Linked DNA regions of Struthio camelus. Each later gene encodes a partner of the first gene's protein in a complex. Links are inferred from orthologs where the notes say so. Each region holds a gene or a part of one and is shown in the gene's direction. Other genes may lie near its edges.

The links.
Region 2: the proteins of BRME1 (region 1) and HSF2BP are in contact, whole or in part, in a crystal structure (PDB 7Z8Z), measured with the Mus musculus proteins. The link is inferred for Struthio camelus from reciprocal best matches to the Homo sapiens genes BRME1 and HSF2BP. Residues at the interface, in NP_083321.2 of Mus musculus: Met541, Gln542, Asp543, Ala544, Thr545, Val548, Arg549, Leu551, Val552, Leu555, Ser556, Asn559, Ile562, Met563, Thr565, His566, Leu569, Lys573; in NP_083178.1 of Mus musculus: Glu23, Phe24, Val25, Lys26, Val27, Arg28, Asp31, Leu32, Arg34, Leu35, Glu38, Val39, Gln41, Ile42, Phe45, Leu46, Arg48, Ile49, Glu53, Leu54.

Annotation. Positions count from the first base shown.
Region 1 is NC_090972.1:4,486,121-4,495,815, reverse strand, and holds the start of BRME1 (break repair meiotic recombinase recruitment factor 1), read left to right. Parts: upstream 1-5,867; coding exon 5,868-5,898; intron 5,899-8,064; coding exon 8,065-8,263; intron 8,264-8,446; coding exon 8,447-8,522; intron 8,523-9,202; coding exon 9,203-9,307; intron 9,308-9,616; coding exon 9,617-9,695. Other genes in the region: CC2D1A (coiled-coil and C2 domain-containing protein 1A), read right to left, coding at 1-40, 380-452, 651-775, 878-1,205, 2,226-2,363, 2,704-2,769, 3,017-3,126, 3,388-3,523 and 1 more. UniProt on the Homo sapiens protein: Meiotic recombination factor component of recombination bridges involved in meiotic double-strand break repair.
Region 2 is NC_090942.1:125,684,690-125,695,147, reverse strand, and holds the start of HSF2BP (heat shock factor 2-binding protein), read left to right. Parts: upstream 1-5,651; 5' UTR 5,652-5,681; coding exon 5,682-5,717; intron 5,718-5,999; exon of another isoform or gene 6,000-6,197; intron 6,198-7,314; exon of another isoform or gene 7,315-7,465; intron 7,466-8,287; coding exon 8,288-8,438; intron 8,439-10,458. Other genes in the region: RRP1B (ribosomal RNA processing protein 1 homolog B), read right to left, coding at 2,071-2,085, 2,398-2,530. UniProt on the Homo sapiens protein: Meiotic recombination factor component of recombination bridges involved in meiotic double-strand break repair.

The DNA of each region.
Region 1 (9,695 bases):
TGCTGCCGGCCGGGCGACAGCAGCTCCTTAGACAGCTGGTCTGGGGAAAGGGAGGAATCGATCAGTCCACAAACAAGCAGCGAGATATTCACTAGGAAACAGGTACATTAGAGTGTCGCCCCGCTGAGCGTGAGCGGCTTTTTGGAAGGAGCCCGGTGCAGGCGGTATCATGCAGCAACGCCCCTGCGGTTTGCTGGCACCTTCCAAACTTGGAAACGGCTGCCCTTCCCCAGGCACGCCAAAAGGCGAGAGGCAAGCAGGGAGCCGGACCTGGAAGCCCCCCTTCCAGAGGGGTCTCCAGCCAAAGCGTCAGTCCTTCCAGGCAGGGCAGGCCCCAGCTGGACAAGGCGTTGCTCTTCAGCGACCTTTCCCTCCTTACCGGGAGGAGGGGGCACGCTGCTCGGATCCACCGGCTGGCCCTTCCCCAAAGCTTCTAACAGGGAGTCAAAGCTCTGAAAAAGCACCAGAGAAAGATCACAGTTCTCACTTTTTTTCAAATAGACATTTCATGACATGCTTTGCAGACAGCCCCTGCCAGCCAGATTTACCCTTGTTTTACTACAGACACCAAGAAAGGCGGCAGTTTGCTTAATATTTCATAGGCAGGAGAAATTCAGGCCTCTCTGGCCACCCAGAGAGGCGCCACACACCTTAGCGACGCGGAAGTACTTCGTGGCCATCTCCACGTTTCCCTGCTGTTTCGCGTGCAGGGCTGCGAGCTTGTACTCCCGCTGCCGGCCTTGCAGCAGAGCCTCAGTGCTGGCCCGGCCGGAACCTGGGGAGGCAGAGAGGAGAGTCGCTGGGCTTCGGGAGGGTTTCCCTCCTCAGCAGCAGGATATAGCGACCCACCACGAAGCAGAACAAGCCAAGGCCTCACCTGGATGTGGAGACAGTGAGGGAGAAAGTGCTTTTTTCTCTGCAGAGCTGGTGGGCAAAGCGGGGCTGGGCAAGACCTGAGGCTTTGGGAGCACAGGAGGCGGCTGCAACGTGGGCAGGGGTTTGGGAGGAGAGACAACAGGCGGCTGCACAGGAGGCGGGGGTGAGCCAGGGCTTGAGGCGGGCACGGAGCCATGGAGGGGTGACACCGCTGCAGAAGGAGAGGGCTGCTGGGAGCTCACACTCTTCCCCAGAGCCACCGGTGGTGGGATTTCCTCCTCGTCGATCTTTTTTCCCTTCCTCACAGAGGTCAGCATGTTCTCTAGTGTCTGAAAAAGAACACGCACACAAAGAAAATCATCAGCTTCTGATCCTTCTCTGTCTCGGCTATGAAAAGAGAAACTTCGGAATTTGCCGGGACTGCAGCAAAACCCCCTAAGGTGGGAAAAAAACAGTATCTGCTTAAAAACAACAGCCAAACATGGCCTGAAACAGGGCAAAGGGGCTCACTGATTAGGAAGCCATTCCCCGACTCTGCAACTTCCTCACTTTCTCACGTTTCCAGAGAACAGAGAGCACCTTGAGCTGCATACCTGCTTTGGAAGAGCAGTGCCACGCTCCCCCAGCCTGCGCGACAGGCAGGCTAACACGCTCCACGCGCTATGGTGTTCTGCTAGCGGACAAAACCCAAGGGAAAGAGGAAGGTCTGCCCTTGACAACACAGATAGGTGCATGAAAAAAAAACTTTAACGTGGCAGAAAAGACTTAAACAAGGTAGAAATCAGCCAGAGGAAAAAAAAAACAAACTAAAAAGAACAGGCTGGTGCTCAAAATTAAAAAACAAAAGTCCTCAGACTTCTCACAGGCTTTAAGCATCCGCAAGCCATCAGGACCATGAGGCTGTGTGTTAGCCAAAAGCCAAGCCTGCAGCAGAATAAGATGATTAGGGCTGTGCCAGAGACCTCTGTGCATAACACAGTCTCAGAGATAGTTATAGCACACATTGCAGCATCCACTTGTTCCTCAGGTTATGTTATTGCCCACAATTAGGCGCTGGAATTAGAACGACCTGATTTTCCAAGAAGTCTGAATAATTTCTGCTTCTTCTTGAAGCAGTGGGAGCTAGAAGCGCTCACCACTGTGGGGAAAACAGGCCTTAACACAGACGTAAGCGCAAAATCCTGGAGCATGGGAACACCGGCCACGCTCAGCGGCGAATTTAAGATCAAACGGGTTTCACGTAACTACAGATTAAGCAAAAAAGACTTCTCTTTAGCCCCCCAAGGGAGCAGCTGTTACCAAGCCGCTGGCCAGCAGCGTGCTGCTCCAGCACGCTGTTTCAGGCTCACCTTGAGGCCTCTCTCGTAGCGGCGCACTTTGGAGCTGTCTCCAGCCTGCTTGGCATTGGCGATGGCCGTTTGGTACATGTCCACCCTCTCTGCCAGCGTAGACTCGATGCTGCCGGACTCGGGAGGCGTTTCACCCACCTGCGGGAGCCCAAAGGAGAAGGCGTGCTGAGCACCCCCAACTAGATGACAACGACACAGGATCCGGGCTTCCTCGCGGCCGATACCCGCCCCGATCCAGGGGTCAGCGCAGACACAGCTGTTCGGCCCTTTGTTTTTCACAAGCTTGGGTCAAAACAGGTCTAGCACGGCCGCAGTTTGTGAACTCCGTCCTCCCTATCTTCCATCAAACTTTTGTGCAACGGAGTCACATTTACTTGTCGGGGAGATCCAACAGATGACACTGTGGACGTAGAAGTGCTCCCACACCAGGAGCAGCAGGGGTAGAAGAGGAAGCAAAGCAGAAGAACGAGTTTCCTACCTTTGCAGTAGTTATGGGGGCATCTGCTCTCTCTTCCCCTTCGCCGAGTACTTCCTGGAGCTCTGCCTACAAGCCAACAGCAGGAATTCCGTTAATGATAAACCGGGGCCAAAAATCTCTTCTGGAGAAAACGCATCCCATTGATCCCAAAGCATATGGAGCAAGGAAAAGCTAATACAGGGAAGGGGGATAAGGGCCAAGGAAGAGCCAGGGCACAGGGACGCTCTCCCAAAACCCCTCCTGTCCTGTGCAGGACACCAATTGGCAAGGAATAAACCACCAGACCTCCCGTTGCCTGCAGAGCCCTGAATACCATGAGATCATCTTCGTCTTCCAGATCTTCCTCATCCCCTCCCTCCTCTTCGTCCAGGTCCTTCATGCAGAGAGCAGCCATTCTCTCGATCGCTTCCATCGGCAAAGGTGCTGGAGAGGGAGAAGCAGCGCGTCTGGTGTTTGTGTCTCACAACCGTTTCCTACCATGGCTTAGGCTCGCGTCCGGAAAGCCAAGGAAAACCAGGCAGGGCAGCAAGTCCGGCCCGGAGAGGGTCACGCAAACTCATCAGGCAGGAGACAAACCACCGTGAGTCATTTTCCACATGGCACATCATCAACCAGCTAGAGAAATTCCCAGCAGACGGGTCCCCCCAGGCAGATATATCCTTCCCACGAGGTTGGGCCACTTACTTTTCCCCTTGGGTTTTTCTTTCGGATCAGGCTGGCCTCCCACAATAGCCAGCAGCTCTGCCTCCAGGTCGGCCGCATCGTCCCCGGCATCGTTTGCCATCATCCCCTCCGGAGAGAAGTCCATCAGCAAAGGCACCTGTGGGGGAGAAAAAGCAGCTGCCCCGAACGATCCTGGCAGAGGCAGCAGCGACGCCGACTAGCTGATGCCGATCCTCTGGGATCGGGCTTGAGGGAGGACGACGCGTCCCACGGTTGGGGACCAGCCCGTTGCGCCCTGCATTAACACTGGCTCAACGACCAGCGAGGCTGCACACTGACAAAGCTGCTGATCCAGCTTAGAAAAGCAAAAACAAATCCCAGAAGACAGGCAACGAGGATACAGGCGGCTCGGTTCTCCCAACGGATCCACGACGGAGACCCGTGCCTGGAACGACCAGCGTCACTACGAACGCTGTGCGTACAAGGAAGCCGCGGCCGGCACCTGCTTAATGGAAGAACTGCCCAGTTTAAACAAAGTCCCCCCAGAAACTGCGGCTGCTCAGATCTGAGTCTTGCGTAACGCACGCCAGAGCTTCCCTGTGCGGAAGGTGTGGTCAGGAGGCCTCAGGTTTCCCTCTGGTTGTTTAAAGGATCTTTACGCCAGTGACCTCTCCCTCCTGGGCAGGCGGAGGCGTAACTGCAGGTGCGCACCCTGCTTCAGCCTGGAGCAGACGGAGGAAGGGGGGCCGGGAGGCGGCGGGCCGGAGCCCCGACGTACCTGCCTGACGGCGGCGGTGCCGCCACGTCCCGGCGGCGGAGGCGGCCTCCTGGTTTTACTCATCCCTCTTTTCCTCCTTCAGACAGAGCTGGAGGGAAGCGGCCTGTGAGCGAGGGGGTCGCAGGGTGCGAGGGGGCCCCTCGGGTACTGTCCCTGCACCCCGGATGGACTCGACCCCTGTTTCCAGCCACCCTTCGGGCTCAGCCCCCCACAGAACTCCCCCCCCATCTTATGTGACTTTCCTCATCTGCCAGCCCCCTACAGCCAAGGGCCTCCCCTGCAAACACCCTGGGGTACTGCCTCCTGGCACCCAGAGCCCTTATCCCACCCCAAACCCTTCTATAAACCCCCCCAAAACTCTCTATAAGCCCTCCTGACCCCCCATAAGTCCCCTCACCCCCCCATAACTCCTTCAGCCCCGCTCTGTAAGCCTCCCAAGCCCCCCTCCAACCCTCCCAGCCCCTCTACACCCTCCCTATAACCCCCTCATCCCCCCCAAAATCCCCCCAAACCCCCTCCAGCCCCTTCCCCACAGACTCCCCCTCCCTAGAGCCCCCCACAAGACCCCCACTCCCCTCACATCCCCCCCAATACCCTGCGCCCCCCACCCCTCCCTCCCCACAAACGATCCCCCAACCGCCTCCCCCCCGGCCCTGCCCGCTCCTCGGGGCTCCAGACCCCGCCGGGAGCCCCGGTACCGGCGGCTTTACCGGCCTCGGCCTCGGCCCCCCCCCCCGCCCTCTCACACTCACTTCCAGCTCCGCCCGGGCGGCTGTCAACAACACGCCGCGCTTTGCGGCACCGCTGTCGCAAGAAAAAAAACCCAAGCCCCACCTTCCTCCTTCGCTTTACGACACTCCCCCTCCCCGCTCCTCTCCCGGCGCCGCTAAGCGAGGCGGTGGCGCAACATGGCCGGCCGCCCCCCCGGCCCGGTGGGGAGACTACAACTCCCAGAAGCCCACGCGCGCTGAGAAGAGGGGGGGGATGCGCATGCGCACGGGGAGGTGGGCGGGGCTCAGGGAAAAGGCGGGAAAAGCCGTTGGCGGCGCCCTGAGGTGAAGGGCGGCGGCGGCCATGGCGGGTCCCCCTGAGGGGGCCGAGGAGGGAACGTGCCCCCTCTTTTCCCCCCCTTTTCCCCTCGAATCCGGAGGCTGCGGGGAGCAGTGTCCATTAGCAGCCCGCCGGCGTGCCGCCTGGAGGCCCTCTCCGTGAGGAGCAAGGGCATCTGGCAAGCGAAGCCCGGCCCTGTCGCCAGAGGCCACGGGCAGCCATGAAGCCCGGGGGGGAGGGGGGGCTGCCACCACGAGCCCGGCGCTCTTCCAAATCCTTCCTCGTCAACAAGGCGCTAGCGCCCCGACTAAAAGCGCTGGGGTGCAGCCTGGGGTCTGCAGCGCCCTGACTTGATGCTTTTGGCTCTTTGGAGAGTGTACAACCGGGCGGGCGGGCGGGGGGGGGGTGGTTCACGGCTGTGGATGGGCCTAAAATCCTTCCTGCGCGTTAACTTGCTTGTGGGAGAGTGCGATTAAAGGGGGAGGCACTGGGACGACCGCACAGCGTCACCGGCGTTTCCCACCTCAGGCACTGCAAAACGGGGTTTGCCGGAGCGATGCGCAATTATGTTAAAGGAAAAGGTCAACGCTGAAGGCAAAATACATTTTCAAGATGCTGTAAGGCCAGTAGTTGAGTGTTCTCATCTGTTTTTCCCACTCAGGAGGGCAGTAAGATGAGTAAAAGGAAGAACGACCAACGATCAGGTAACGACACGAGCTCCGGGGCTCGTTCGCTGCTACACGTGGACGGTGTGACGGTGTTTGACAGATGCCAGTGCCCCCTCGTAAAGAAGCGGTCTAGCTGTCAAGGAGCCTAACCAAATTATTTCAAGTCTCGTTCGTTATACTTGGTAGTAAGAGAGAGATTGCACGTCTAAAACTACCCAGGCGCTTAATTAGTATGTAGATGCTGCATCTGCAAACATTTCTCAAAGCGTGAGCAAACTGACGTCTAACATCACCTTTAAACTGTTACCTTTCCCACACCTGTTTCACCAAAGTTCCCCCCAAACTGCTCTCTGCGTTTCCATAGTTTACTGGTGCTTGCTACAAAAACACCCACGTACAACGCTTTCGAAGCGGCTTTTATCTCAACATAGCAAAGCGCTTCCCGAATGTCACTTCGGCTTGCTACAATGCTGAGGAAAACATGGGTTAGTAGCCCCATTTTGCAGATGGAAAAAACAACACGACCCCCCCCCCCCACCCCAGCTGGTGACAAGGCAGGGAACAGCAGCCACTACACCTCTCCTGTCCCTGTATCACACAGTCACTCCCGTCGCTTTGTTTGTTGTGCTGTTCCAATAAATATTGCATGAGGCTTCGTGGTAGGCCTCCCCCCGAGACTGCAGGAGTTTGTCCGTTGTGTAGCATACCCCATTTCTCCTTGTTTCGGAACAGACGAGCCACCATTTGCACTCTGCCGTCCTGCTGTCTCTCTTGATTGCAGTTGTTCTTCCTCCGTAGGATCTCAGGAGGGACTCTGGCATGATGCCTCTTAGCGCGGCGGGTAATAAAGGGACTAGATTTGACGAGCTTTTCAAGCAGGGTGCACAATCTACGACTCTTTGGAAACAGGCCTCTTCTCCTCCCCTCCCCACCTAACTCAGCAGACTTTGAAGAATCCGTAAATGCGGCAGCTTTAAAAATCAAGGCACAGCAGGACGAGCCGTTTGAAACGCAGTCTGGAATCGGCGAGAGCTGCCAGAGCCTTTCCGCTTTGGTGGAGAGGGAAGGAAAAAGGTGCTTCGAAAGGGTCTGGCGGCATCTGAGCGTCGCTCTCAGAACGCCCTTGGTAGGGGGGCATGGATTTCAGCGTAAACACCTCGATAACAGGCTGCAAACGCTAAAGGCAAAGGCTCCGATTCTGTTTATCCTGCACTACGCCACTGTGTGGAAGCGGAGAGCCAAGGCGAAAAGCGTATCCACAGGACGATAACACAAATCTATGCTTATGTATGTGAATGGTAATATTTAAGGCTGTCTACAACGCTGCTTTAGGCACAGCTTCCTCCCCTGAGTAGTACTTGACTAATCCACACAGACACAGCGTTTTGTCAAATTATGCTGTTTGGCACCATCAGTGAGCAATTTGGGTTATACCGCTCTTCGGTAGGTGGAGGATTGCTAGTGCTTCAGCTGGCAGCATTCAGATTAAACGTTACATCTCATTTAGCACCGATTTTGATTAATAAAATACTGATTTAACCTAGAAAAGAGCACTGGAGTTTGACCGCTGTAATTAACTTTTAACACTAGAAACATACTTGAAGCTTCCTACAAACAAAATACCTGAGGCCGCCCTGTTGTACGGGGGCTATGGTAACGCAGGGTTTCTTAGGATTTCTCGTTTAATTTCTGTTCCTCTCCACCAAAGCAACACCCAAAGTCCGTCCAGAGCGGCAGACGTCTGCAGCCTCAGGACGTTGTTGTCCTCAGAAAGAACAACCTTTGGGTGTTTATACTGGTAAATCTGACCAGGGCAAAATCTTCCTCATCTGCTATGGGTGTTTTTATTGTTAAAAGTCAGGTTAGTATTTTACAAAGGTGCTTGTGCCCCAGTGCCTCCACCGAAGTCGGAACTTACCAAGAGTTTGTGATAGGCCTTGTGTTGCTAGCAGATTTTAAAAGCTTCCTTAGTTCAAGCGTTTTCATAGGATTTAGTAACAGGAATTAATGCAAAACCTACATGGGCAACCTGTAGGCCAGGGGTGGATAGTACTTTAAGCTTCAGGCAGGTTTTTTTCATAGGTTTTGATAAAATTGTTGCTGCTACTTGACAGTTTACCACACAGCTCTACAACCTTGTTCTTTCTGTTCTAGTCACTCTTACTGCCAAGGCTGTTTTCTAATGACTTTTTCCCTTAAAAGGAGGAGACAGCAAGTGCAGTGTTTCCAAAATGAAAAGACTTAGGGAAGATCCTGAGGTGACAGAGGGCTTAGACCTGACAGGACAGACCCAAATCATGGATTCTGAAGGCAAATCAAAGCCAACCGCGGGAGGGGCAGAGGAACGGGAAGAGAAGGACCCGGGAAGCACTGAAAGTTTGGAAGCAAACTCGCAAGCAAGGTAACAGAGTTTGCGCCATGTAACTTGGAAATCACCAGAACGTGAGTTTGTAGGGCGATATAACCCACAGAGCTCGCGTCCTGTAAAACAGAGACGCAGCCCCAATCAAGGCGATTATGACTTACCCCAAGATAACACGTTGACACTAGCTAGACGTGCACGCTATTGTATTCTCTTTAATAGTTCAAACGATGAAGGAGAGAAGACTGCTGCGGAGCGAAGTCAGGCGAAGCAGTTTACCTCAATTTCTTTATCTCAGGTAAGTCTGCTTTGAAGGTTCTGCCCGAGACCGCCAGTAGCAGCGTGCTGCACTGCGATCTCCTCGATACTGTCTAAGCATTCAGCTGGCAGGAAATTCCTTCCACAGCATAGCTAGATTTGCCTTTGTGTAGCTGTTTTTCCTCTGTGGACAAATTCACTTTAGCTGCTTGAACGCTGCCAGCATATCTCCCTCAAATGTATACCCTAGGGCACGCAGCAGCGTTGCCAAAGTTCTGGAATGAGCACATGACAACAAATTGCACCTGAAAAAAGTGGGTTTAACTGAAACCCCGCATTCACTGCAAAACTGAAGTGTGTTATTAAAATGCACCTAATTTAATCCATTGTTACAGTGTAAAATAATGCATTTCAAATATGTACAAACTGCAGAAAGCATTTCCCAGAATTTTAAGGGTTCAGCTTGTTCTCTATTAAATCGAGAAAGAAAACCTCTAAGCTTCAGGCTTGACATAACATTGTGAGCTTCTCGGGGATGGTTTGCAGTGTCTACCCAGATAGGATTATAAGCCGGATGAGGTCATCCCCTCGCTGTCTTTCTAATCGATATTGAGAGCTGCTGAGCTGGGAAGACTGGGCATGGTGCTCAGGATGTTGGATTGCTCGGTCCCCCGGGGAGTAACTGCTCCTCACACTCATCACTATTGCCCTTGGCTGTAGAAGTCAGCAGGGAAGTTTGTGCCAGTCTTCACAAGGCCGAAGGAGGCTCTGGCGGAGAAACGGAAGCGAAACAACGGTGTCGCTCCGAGGAGTCGAACAGAACAGGTAAAATGGTGCATCCCAGTTAACCATCTTCCTATGGACAGGTTTGTTTTTGTTGTTGTTAATAAACTATACAATTTAAAGCTACTTCTTGTTGCTACGTTGCAGAACAGAGCAGTAAGACCTTCTGGCTTTGTCACATCCTGCTGTATGAATGTGACTTTTGTTAGAGCTCTCAGAGTTCAGTAGGTGGTTCCTGTAAATTGTTTGGTATTTATACCGAATGGAGTAAGCGCTGCTTTTTATAAAAACACAAAACCAAAAATAGCTATTTTTTAAGGCATTAATGATGCATGCACCTTATTATTTCAGGAAATAATAGTCTGTAATACCCAAAATATGGATATCAGTCTAGAACAGAAGCCATCAGAGGCAGTTACCCAGAAAGCAA
Region 2 (10,458 bases), on another chromosome or scaffold:
TATCAGCCCAGTACACTTTCTCTTTCAAGGTAAAGATTTTAAGAAGAATGAGTTAACAAGAAAAAAAAGGAACAGATTAAGTAATAATGTACTCATCCAGGTTCACCTGCACACACAATGGTTTCAGAGCTTCAGTAGCTTTATGCTTTCTACAGAATATAACTTTGTGTTTAAAAATCAAGAAGGCTTTAGCTCTTCAAAGAAGTTTCCACAACATGACCCATGATGCAAACTTAGCACAGACCATACGGGACAGACAGGAAGAATGCCTACCAAGGGCTATGCAACATTTCACTGAGGCGAATGTCACTGATAACTCCACCTGCTCCTTCAAAAGTTAACATGTTTTTGATTGTTCATGTTGATTTGGGAGCCTCCCCTCTGGCAGAGGGATGCATAGAAATAAATCTGCTAATTCAAATATTACTTTAAAAAAGCCTCTATCCTGAACATAAGGCTTCTTTCCCAAGTCCAAAGAAGTTAGCTACTGTTCTAATATTATTAGTTTGAATTGTACGTTAAAGCAAGTAAATTTAGAAGCACTGCAAATTAATCACCCTGGTTTCCTACTCATTTGCATTTCATGGTGGGTTGACTTTAACATGCAAAATGTTCACCTTGTAACAGACAATTTCCCTGTGGTGGTTTCCCAATGTGTTAGGGCATTAGCTTACACTGCAACCTTTTCCCTCAATTAGGATACCCTATAAAGGGACTCTCCTCACCACCTGGCAGGTAACTTTCACAAACTTACAGGAATCTGCACTTTGCAATGAGAGGCACAGAGCACTACCGAATACACAGAAACCACATCCAGCTTAGGAAGTTTCCAGAGCCAAAAATAGCTGGAGGGTCAGAAAACGCTTGGGAGGAATATAATGTACATTTTGCTTGTTCTTACTATTCCCTACACATCCCCCAGATTTATTGCTACTGCCAGAAATGGGATAACGGGCTACCTGGCCCTCTAGTCTGACCCAGTAAGGCTGTTCTTATGTATTCTCGCCTCTGTCAGATGAGGCCAAGATCAGCCACTATGTCAAATGTTATTTGGAAAGGGAAGAGGGAAAAGGGAGAAAACAACCTATAGCCCCCAGCAGCTTTGCAAGGAATTAACTTGAGTTCAACCAGCCTTCTAGTTTCAGTTTAGCTCTCGGGGTGCCAGGCTGGCTTTCCAAATCGAATGGAACACGTACACATACATCTCAGTACCATGTTCCCAAATACTGTGGGAAGGTTTACTACGTCAGACACAGTGCTCTGCAATGCACCTAACCAGTTCAACTCCTGTATCGCATCCAGCTTGCGACATAGTGCCCTGAAGAATGCAAACCAGAAAGCTCAGTCTTTTAGACATCTCCACGCTGTGCTCCCTTATCATTGCAGAAGGAGAGTTTACTGAGCTGGATCCATGCATTCACACAGTGCTATGACTGACCTCCTGAGCCTCCTATAGCAGGCATCCTAAGGCACAGAGTGCTTCAGACTAGCAAGGCCAAGGCCAGTAAGTGTAGCTGGACCCAAGCTGTCCGAGTTCTAAGGCAGCAGTACAGAGCTCTGTGAAAGCGAATAAACTCTGTTGTAATAAAACTATTGATACCATGGATACAGAGATAACAAGCGACCTGGATAATCTGAACAGGTAACTATGAATTTCTTGCAATTATGCAACCACTAAAACCTTTCTGAGCTTTCCTCAATTCACTTCAATGCTCCTGAATCTCAGCTACAAAACCAAGCAGTCAGTGTCTCACCAGTCAACGTAGCACTGAATAAAAACTATACACTCCATGCACTGGGATTGTTTCAGTCCAGCTCCGCTCACTGCATTTACATCCTGTTCCCGTGAACGAGCGGCCTTGAGCTGCATCGCTTCGCACCTGCCGATGTCCCTGCCGCCACCAACACTCCCCCCCGCCAAACAGGTCCTGCCTGGGGCCGCCGTCCCTCTGACGGGGCACGGAGCCCGGCTCGCCCGTAGCCACCGCGGGGAAACCGCATGAGCGAGGCCCAGAAAGCTCCTGCCCCGCTCGGGGCCGGCGGTAACGAGCTCGGCGCTTGCGGACTCACCACCGAAAACGCCTGCTGTGATAAAACACACGGGTAAAAATTAAAATAATAATAATAACAATAAAACAAACTAGCGGCACTGTGGTGACAGACCAGACCCCGGAAGGCAGGAGGCAGCGCCCGGCCCTCCCTCCACACGTGCTTCCCCCGCCATGCCGGCACGTTTCAAACAGGCGCCGCTTTCCCTGCGGCACCGCCGGCCCTGAGCAGCGCCGCCGCCGCCTGGGCCTGGACCCCGGCCCCAGCGCTGCACCCCGCCGCCCCCGGACCGGACCGGACCGGACCGGACCGGACCGGACCGGGCCCTGCCCGCCGCCTGGGCCCTACCGGCCGGGCGCTGGGTCCGGACGCTGATGTAGCCCCGCAGCTTCTTCACGGCGCGGTCGCGGACGCGCTTCTCGTTGGCGGCCAACCGCTGCGCGAACTGGATCTCGGGCGCCTGCAGCGCGGCGGGAGCCATGGTCTCCGCGCCCCACGGAGGCGGCGGCCGCCTCCCTCCCCTCTCCTCCCCTCCTGCCGGGCGCCGCCCGATGGCGTCACCAGCGCCCCCGGCGCACGCTTTGCGCGTCGCGCGCGCCGTGGCGGGAGGGAGGGAGGGAGGGAGGTGGCACCTGGGTCCGGGCGCCGCGCTGCCCGCCTGGGCTCTGCGGGGAGCGGTGCAACCCATAGACCCAGCGCGGCGGTTGAGTTTCGTGGCTTTTTATTTCTGGTGACAAATCTGAAGTCCCCCAGGAATAAGCACCCCCAGAATTCAGTGTTTAAACGTGCAGAGCACGCTCACGGTGAACGACGGCCGGGCATCCAGCACGCGCATACGGGGTTCACCTTTTTCTCTGTTACAAACGGGGATGCTGCAACGGCAGGAAAAGTAGGCCGGACCTGCGCTGGTAGAGCTTTTCTGCCTGCGTTTCCCCAAGAGGAAGTTTGGCAAAACCTAGAACTCCGAACTCTTAGTGCAGTGACTTAACGCAGTCGACCGCCTTGTCTCATAATGTTACAATATCTTTAAAATTCAAAACATTGAAGGAGTGAAAAATTGACTTCATGCAAAGGAAACGGTCTTTCTAAAAAAACTGAATCCTCTCCTATTTCTGTATTCAACATGATGTCATTCAAGAGTAAAGTCTAGAAAAAGTTTGTAACTAGTGTATCACAAACATCAGCACTCTCAAAGAAATGGAGATGCCACATGTCTTTTCCCAGACTCTTTAACTATCCTACCAGATACACATTTGTACTGAACTATATTAAAAAATAAAGTATTGAAACCTTTCTGAAGAATTAAAATGCTTGGGAGCATGAAAGATCAAAGATCTTGAGGATGATCGACAACGAAAGATCAGTTTCACAAATGACTGCTTAACTGTGTCCCTGAGCAGGTAAGGCAGTAGCAAGGTGTTTTTACTTACCTGAACCTAGTTCTATAGTGAGTTTTGTTAATCTGGGCCTTCGTGCTAGACTGCAGCCAACGTGAAGCTGGAAGCTCTGGTGCTTGTAGTAAGAGGAAATGTTGATCTCATAGATCTTATGAAATACTATCACCACTTTAACACAGAATTGTTTATAAAAACGTCGTGTTCCAGTGTGCTTTCATTTACTATAACTTAAATTTCTAGGGTCAGTAAAAATTAGAGTGGATGCTTTCTAAGGTTTTCTCACTCTGTACGCTTCACAACACGGCATGTGGTTGGATAGGCCCCCAGTTCTTGAAGCTGTTCCACATCCTCCGATTCCTATGTCCACAGAAAGCCCAAGTGCTTCAGAAGGAGACGGCAGATTTGCCTTTATCTACTGCTTGTGTGGTATTTTTCAAAAGCCACAGGAAAGCAAAATATCTTTTTAATGACAGAAATTCATGGACACAAAATGCCCCAAAACAGAAGTGGTATTTAAGAAAACTTGTATGTTTTTTTAAACTTGACTAGAGTATAAAGTGACAGCATCTGTACAACTTCTAAGGCGCTTAATGGTGCTCTTTGTTCTGCCAGGCTTGTACCAATATTTGAAAACGTGTCTTATGGGCAACTGGGGAATTATAAACCTGCAGACTGGCTTATTAATTGGTTGAAATAGTAATTGAAAATAAGAGTAAGAACATTTCTAGATGATTTTTAAGCATGGTTTCTGCAAAAAAAAAAAAAAAAATCACGCCAATCTCTTACAGTTCTAAAATTTATCAGTAATGTGATGGACGAAACAGAACAGGCTGAGAGGTTTTCAAAAAGCCTTGACATAACGCCAGCACAAGCAACCATTAAAAGAAGCTAAGAAATCACAGAAAGGCAGAAGTTTGTCGTAGACCAAAAACTAGGCAGAAGAAAGCAAGCAAAGCGTGTGCCTTGGCCCTGGGGGGCCCCGGCAGCCCTCGTGGTTCCCTGGGCCCCCATCTCAGCCCAGCCTGGGGCCGTCAGTCACTGCCCTGCGACGCTGGCCCCGCCACGGCCCTGCCCCTGCCCACGGGACCCCCGACCCTGCTCCTGTCGCCGTCCCTACGGCTCCGGCTTGGCCCCGCAGCGGTGCCTGACGCCCCCCAGCCGGGGCTAGGGCTGCGCCCGGGGGCCGTGCTCCCCGGGGCAGGGGGACGGGCCAGGCTGGGCCCTGGCGGCCATCTTAGCGCAGCTGCCTCCCTGTTGCTTCGGGAGCGCCCGGTCTGCGCTGCTCCCTGGCGGCGTGGTACGATACGCCCGGTTTTCATCACCACGGAAAGGGCCAAGGGCAGGGAACATCGGTGTTCACGCCATTTCCTATATTTATGAGTGGTGTGAGAAAGCGGCAGACACGTCAGCGTCGAGGTTAGCCAGCACCAGAGCGTGCTGCAGAGCGGTGTTTAAAAGCTGGACCAACAGGCAAGGAGACAGCAGTGAACATCCCGTGTTACAATATGGAAGGAAATCGTACAAACTCAGCATCCTATCAAAAGGCAAATTAGCTGTATCTGCTGAGGAAAAAGACACGGACATCACTGTGAACAGTGTAACAGCTCTTGCTGCTCACTCCTCAGGAGCATTGCAACAAACAAAGGTGTTCAGACATGTAAAGAAAGGAATAGAGAAAACTGTGGGGAATTTTGTAATGTTTATATATAAAGCGGTGTGGTCAGAAGTATTGTGTACTCAACCGCTATCTCAAAAATTATATAGCAGAAGATACTCAACGAAAAAAAATAAAGTGGGTACAACAGAAAAAGCCTCCAAGAAGGGGCTGGCAAGACTAAACTTCCTATTGCGGCACAAAGGTAAGTACGAAGTTTGTAAAGAACAGCTGACACCACGAGCACAGGCCGTGAGGGCAGATTAGGGCTGCTGGGTCCCATGGCGCAGGTGACTATATGTAACGGGCAGTTTAAACGCGAAGGACAGCGCCGTTTCACGTAGTGAGGACTTCAGGCAGAACCCCTGAACCGCCCGCAGTGCCAGGCGGCGGGGGACCAGCTCGGCGAGCCCTGCCTGCTCGCCGCCGCCGAGCCCCTCTCCCCCCGCCGCCGTGTCCCCCCCCCCCCCCCCCGGCCGCTCCAACCGCCGCGCCCGGAAGGGCGGCGCGCGGGGGGCCTGGCGCAGCGCGACGTCACAGCCCCCGCCCGCCCGCCCGCCTGCGAGGCGGCGGTTGGCGCGATGAGGCGCCGCGCGGGGCTGGCGGGCGAGGCGCAGGTAGCCGGGGCCGCCCGTGCCCGCAGCCCCGGAGCCCGGGCAGTCCCGGCGGCGGGGTCGGGCCGGCGCTGAGGCGTCGGCTGCCCCGGGAAGGAGGGCGGGGGGGGGGGGGGAAGGTGCGCGGCCGTTGGGGCCGGCTGCCGCGTCTGAGGGGCGATGGCGGGGACGGCGCTGCGCAGCCGAGCGCCGTGGGGGGACGGGTGGCCCGGCGGAGGGGGGGGGGCCTCGCTGGGTGCCCGGCGGGGCAGGGCAGGGCTAATACCAGGCAGTGGCGGTTTTCAGTGTTGGATATAAAACACGTGGGAGCTCGGCCGCTGGGACGTCTCGCACCGTTGCTTAGAGTCTCATGGCCGGTGTGAACTGTTTGGTGGGGGGTCCTGCGTGTCAGCCTGCCCTTCCCGTGACGCAAAACGCCTCTGCGCTTCAGCATGCCTCCTAGCGCAGACTTCGCGTTGACTTGTAAAACATCTGTGGAAGAGGGTGAGGGTCCCTCTCTCCCTTTTAAGGGAGGGGGGGGAAAGACGTGTTGTACTAATTGTGTAAGTGGAATTGAAGTGACCCCTTCAGCATCCTTTGGGGGCTAATGAAGATTCGAGAATAGGCTGACGGAGGTTATGTGCTGGGGTGTTGAACACAGGTGTGGTTTCCGTGACTGTGTTCAGCCACCCTGCCGGGCAGGGAAGCGGAGTTCAAATCTTAAAGGCTGTGAACCAAGGCACAAAACTAAATTGGCCGAACTTGATCGTTGGCCAAGAAATCTGTGAGGACTGAAGTCAGATTTCCTACATCTGGTCAGCTATCAGGCACTGGTATATGTTTGTTTTTAACTGATTGTTGTAATGTATGGGAGATGTTGAGTAGCTGCGTAAGTGGAGAAAATAAAACTTGTCTGCCAGAACTGCAGTATTACGAAGATGATCTGTGTTTACACTGAGAACTATAGATTAGGATTTTCTCCATGGTATACATTTCATATCTCAATTCCAATACTCTGGTAGCATACTTCATTTGGATTTAGCTTATGCTAGTGAATAGAGCTATTTTTCATGCCTATACCAAATGTTGCTCTGTAATTTTCAACAATACTGAATAGTCTCTTTGACCTTCCCGTCTGACCCTCTGTTTACACAGAAGTCGTACTGTCCCTCTAGAGTCTTGTGGCCATGTGCTTATGCCCTCATTCAGTATGTCCCTGAGACCTGAATGAGTTGTATTTTTCCTGCATCCTATAGTGTGGTGGTACTTGGCCATCCTAACCTTACTGTAAGCACTTTGTAAATGCAGCTTAGAGTATACAATCCAGGTTAAAATAAAAATCTTTATTCCATGTCTTTATTGCTGTTCTATGTCTTCTGAACCGGGAAGACTAGGACTGGTGTGTTACATCCCTAGAAATGTCTGGATTTGGCAGAGGGTTGGGAAAGAAATAGACTAGCAAGCAAAGATGGAAGGAAATGTTCAATGTGAGGAAGCAGAGAAGCAAAAAGACAAAAGAGAATTGTAGAAAATGGTCACAAAGGATAGGAACACCAGGGTGGCATTTTCTGTTGAACTGGAAAAGGTACTAATGTTAATGACCTTAATTTGTCTCATGCAGCTGGATGAGATGTGGAGAGGGCGCATTTAGTGTCTTTAGGAGACTGTTTCTTGTATAGTTCCGCAGTATCCTCTTCCCTCTGAAAAGAGAAGATGTGATCGTTTACAGAAGGGATCTCAATGTTTCTGCACCGCTCTCAAAAAAAGAAATAGTAATGTGATATATTGTAGTTTTGCTTTATGAAAGCATATTGGATATGTAATATTTTGGGCAAAATAAATTAAACCTTTCAGTATGTAATTGTGGATATACGGTAGCCTTTTCAAGATACAGCAGTGTGCACATGTACGTACATCAGAAATGCGAGTTGATGGTTTTTTGGTACCGAAACGTCTATATTGCTTGAAAATTAATGCTCATTTTCTCGGACGGTAGATTTAAAGTTAGGGCAATAGTGTGGCACAAGAGAAAATTAGTTATCATATCTTTCCTGTCTTAACTCATGATTATATTACTTTTATTTGTGATTGGATCACAAATGATATTTTTCTCAAAGTAATTCATTTTCTGTGAGGAACAAAAACTATTTTCTCTGAAAGAACTATTATAATTTAGCAGGATGGCTGAGCATCTGCAAATATTTGAGTTAGTTGAAAACAGTTACATATATCCTTAGAATAGTCTCAAACCTGGCTTAGAGTATGTGTAGCTGTTTACGTTTTTCAAATGTGAACATCAAATTAATTTTTACAGTGTTCTGAGGTGTGCTACACACATTTTAGATGAAGAAACTGTTGCAGAGAGGTAATATGATTTGCTCTAGGCCCCAGTGGCAAAAAGCAGGTTAAAATTGAAGACTTTTTATCTCAGAGACTCTTAGTCCAGATTATTACTGGATAGTTCTTTTTTAAGTAAGTTTCTGAATTTCTGAAATGATAGAGGAATATTTTTTTTTCTGAGAGAAGGGATGCAAAGCAAAGAGCACTCAAAGCCGTAATGGTGTCTTTTTTTTTCTTCTTTTTTTGCATTTCAGAAGGCTGACACAGAAGACGACTACGTTAAAGTTAAAAGGAGGGATTTGGAAAGGCTGACAACGGAGGTTATGCAACTGCGGGATTTCTTACCCAAAATATTGAATTGGGATATCTTGGGGACGTTCCAGAAACTGGATGCTGTTGAATCAAGTGAGCTGAATCATGTTACGAGCTATTACAGATAACTATGAAAACTACTTAGAAAGAGAAGTCCTACCCATATAAATAGCTGTAGAGTTTATTGAGGTATTGCAGATTGAACTATGATATTAAAGGCATTAAATACACCTGTATTTGTAAAATGGTGTGTTTGTAATTAACAAAATTGGAAAGTACATTAGAAATAACTAGACTTTTGTCAAATTAATCTTCAGAACTGTTTTATTGGGGATAAGAACGAATATTTACTTCAAGCAATAAGGGAAGCTGTATCAGAAAGAAAGTGATTCTTCTTTGAGAAAGGGGGAAACCATTCTATTTTTCAAAATGTGACTTTAGATGAACAGCAAAATATATGGTAAAGAGTTGTGGATAAATGAGAAGTTAAGTTTATGGGAGGAGATGATGCCTTTGTAGTTACCTTATCTTTTATATAGTGTTATTGCCATAAATCTTCATTAAAAATTGCGTTGGAGACTAGTAACGGACTTTGGCCTCTCTGATATCTTTTTACTCTGATCCCCAAAGTCCATTTTTTTCAGGCTTGTGATCTCTTCTGTACCATCTTTCCAACAGTTGCACCACTTCCAGCATGACTTGAGAGCTGAACCTCAGTCAGCCCCCATCCCCAGCCTGCAGCTTACATGCGGGAGTAAAATTCACCTGTTCTTCTAGAAGTTTGTTTTGTCTGAAAAGGCAAGGAACAAACATTTAGATGATATTCTAGAAGACGTACGCTTTTCTATAATCTGAGTGATTAACTGAAGATTAGTTGTAATGGTTAGTAAGAGAACAGCCTCTCTACCTTGGAGCTCAGTCAGTCCTTGACTTCTGCTGTGTGGGACTGCCTTAATGAATACACAGGCACCAACCCCAGGAAGACCTGCCTACCAAGTCTGCACCTTTTGGCTGCCCACTGTATTTCTGACCTATGTAGCCTGCTGGAATGAGACCTTCATGTATCTTCTCTCAGCCTCCCTGGAGCGTATGACCCAGATGGTAGATGCTCAGACTAAAGGGCTAGCTCAGAATAAGTGTTCTGGCTACAAAGTACTGAAAGAGAGGCGGGGCTCTGTGAAGATGGACTACCTTGATAAAGACAGATGTGGAGCTGCTTTTCTTAGGAACCTTTGTCTCTGCTGCTGTGAGCTAGTTCTTGACCAAACTTCTGTAGTGAGAGATACAGTGGAGTACCTAGGAATCCTCACTGCAGTCTCCAGGGGTGTCACTCCTCTTTAGTACTATGTTCTAGGCATCAGAACCTGTTGCAGTCACCAGCGTAACCTCACTGTGAGGAACTTGCATCCTTTTCTCCTCCAAAGAAAAAATAAGATACACCCTCAAGGCCCATCTGCAATAACGAGTAGTATATTGGGGTAGAGTTTCCTGCTGCCTTGATGATACCTTCTTTGGAAGGACTTTTCTGTGCCATCAAATGCTAATAGAGCTGAAGAGACCGTCTCACCTGTCAATCCTGCTGCCAGTCAGGACATCATCCCTCTCATGAGAAGTGACGTAGCATCTGGAAATATTCTCTTTATGCTATTGCAAGGCATCAGGGACTGTTTCTAGTTGGATTAAGAGTACAAGTGTTCAAGTTCCTAGCCTTCAATCTTGCATTCAGAGAATGAACGTTCCATGCACCTAGTTTAACTGAAGGCATCCACCTTCCCAGCTTCGGAGCAAATGGTCAAATGTTTGATATTCAGATTCGTGGTTTTCTGACTTTTATCAGTGCTCAGTCTCGAGATGCCTCTTGCTGATCCTTCCTATGCTTCCTGTGCCACACATCAGAGAGACTGTCAGGGTCTTCTAGGAGCAGGTTTGCGGCAGTCAACAAGGGGATTTTAAGACTTCACTTGAACTGCTCTGCTGGCTAGCTAGCACTCTGCAAGTCCTTTGGAGAAGTCCGTGAAGCTGAGTCCGCCTTTAAACTCTCTTGAATATATTCCCACAGCGGAGGCGTCTCTTCCAGTTAATGAGGCAGTTTGATTATTTACGCTGGCTGTCA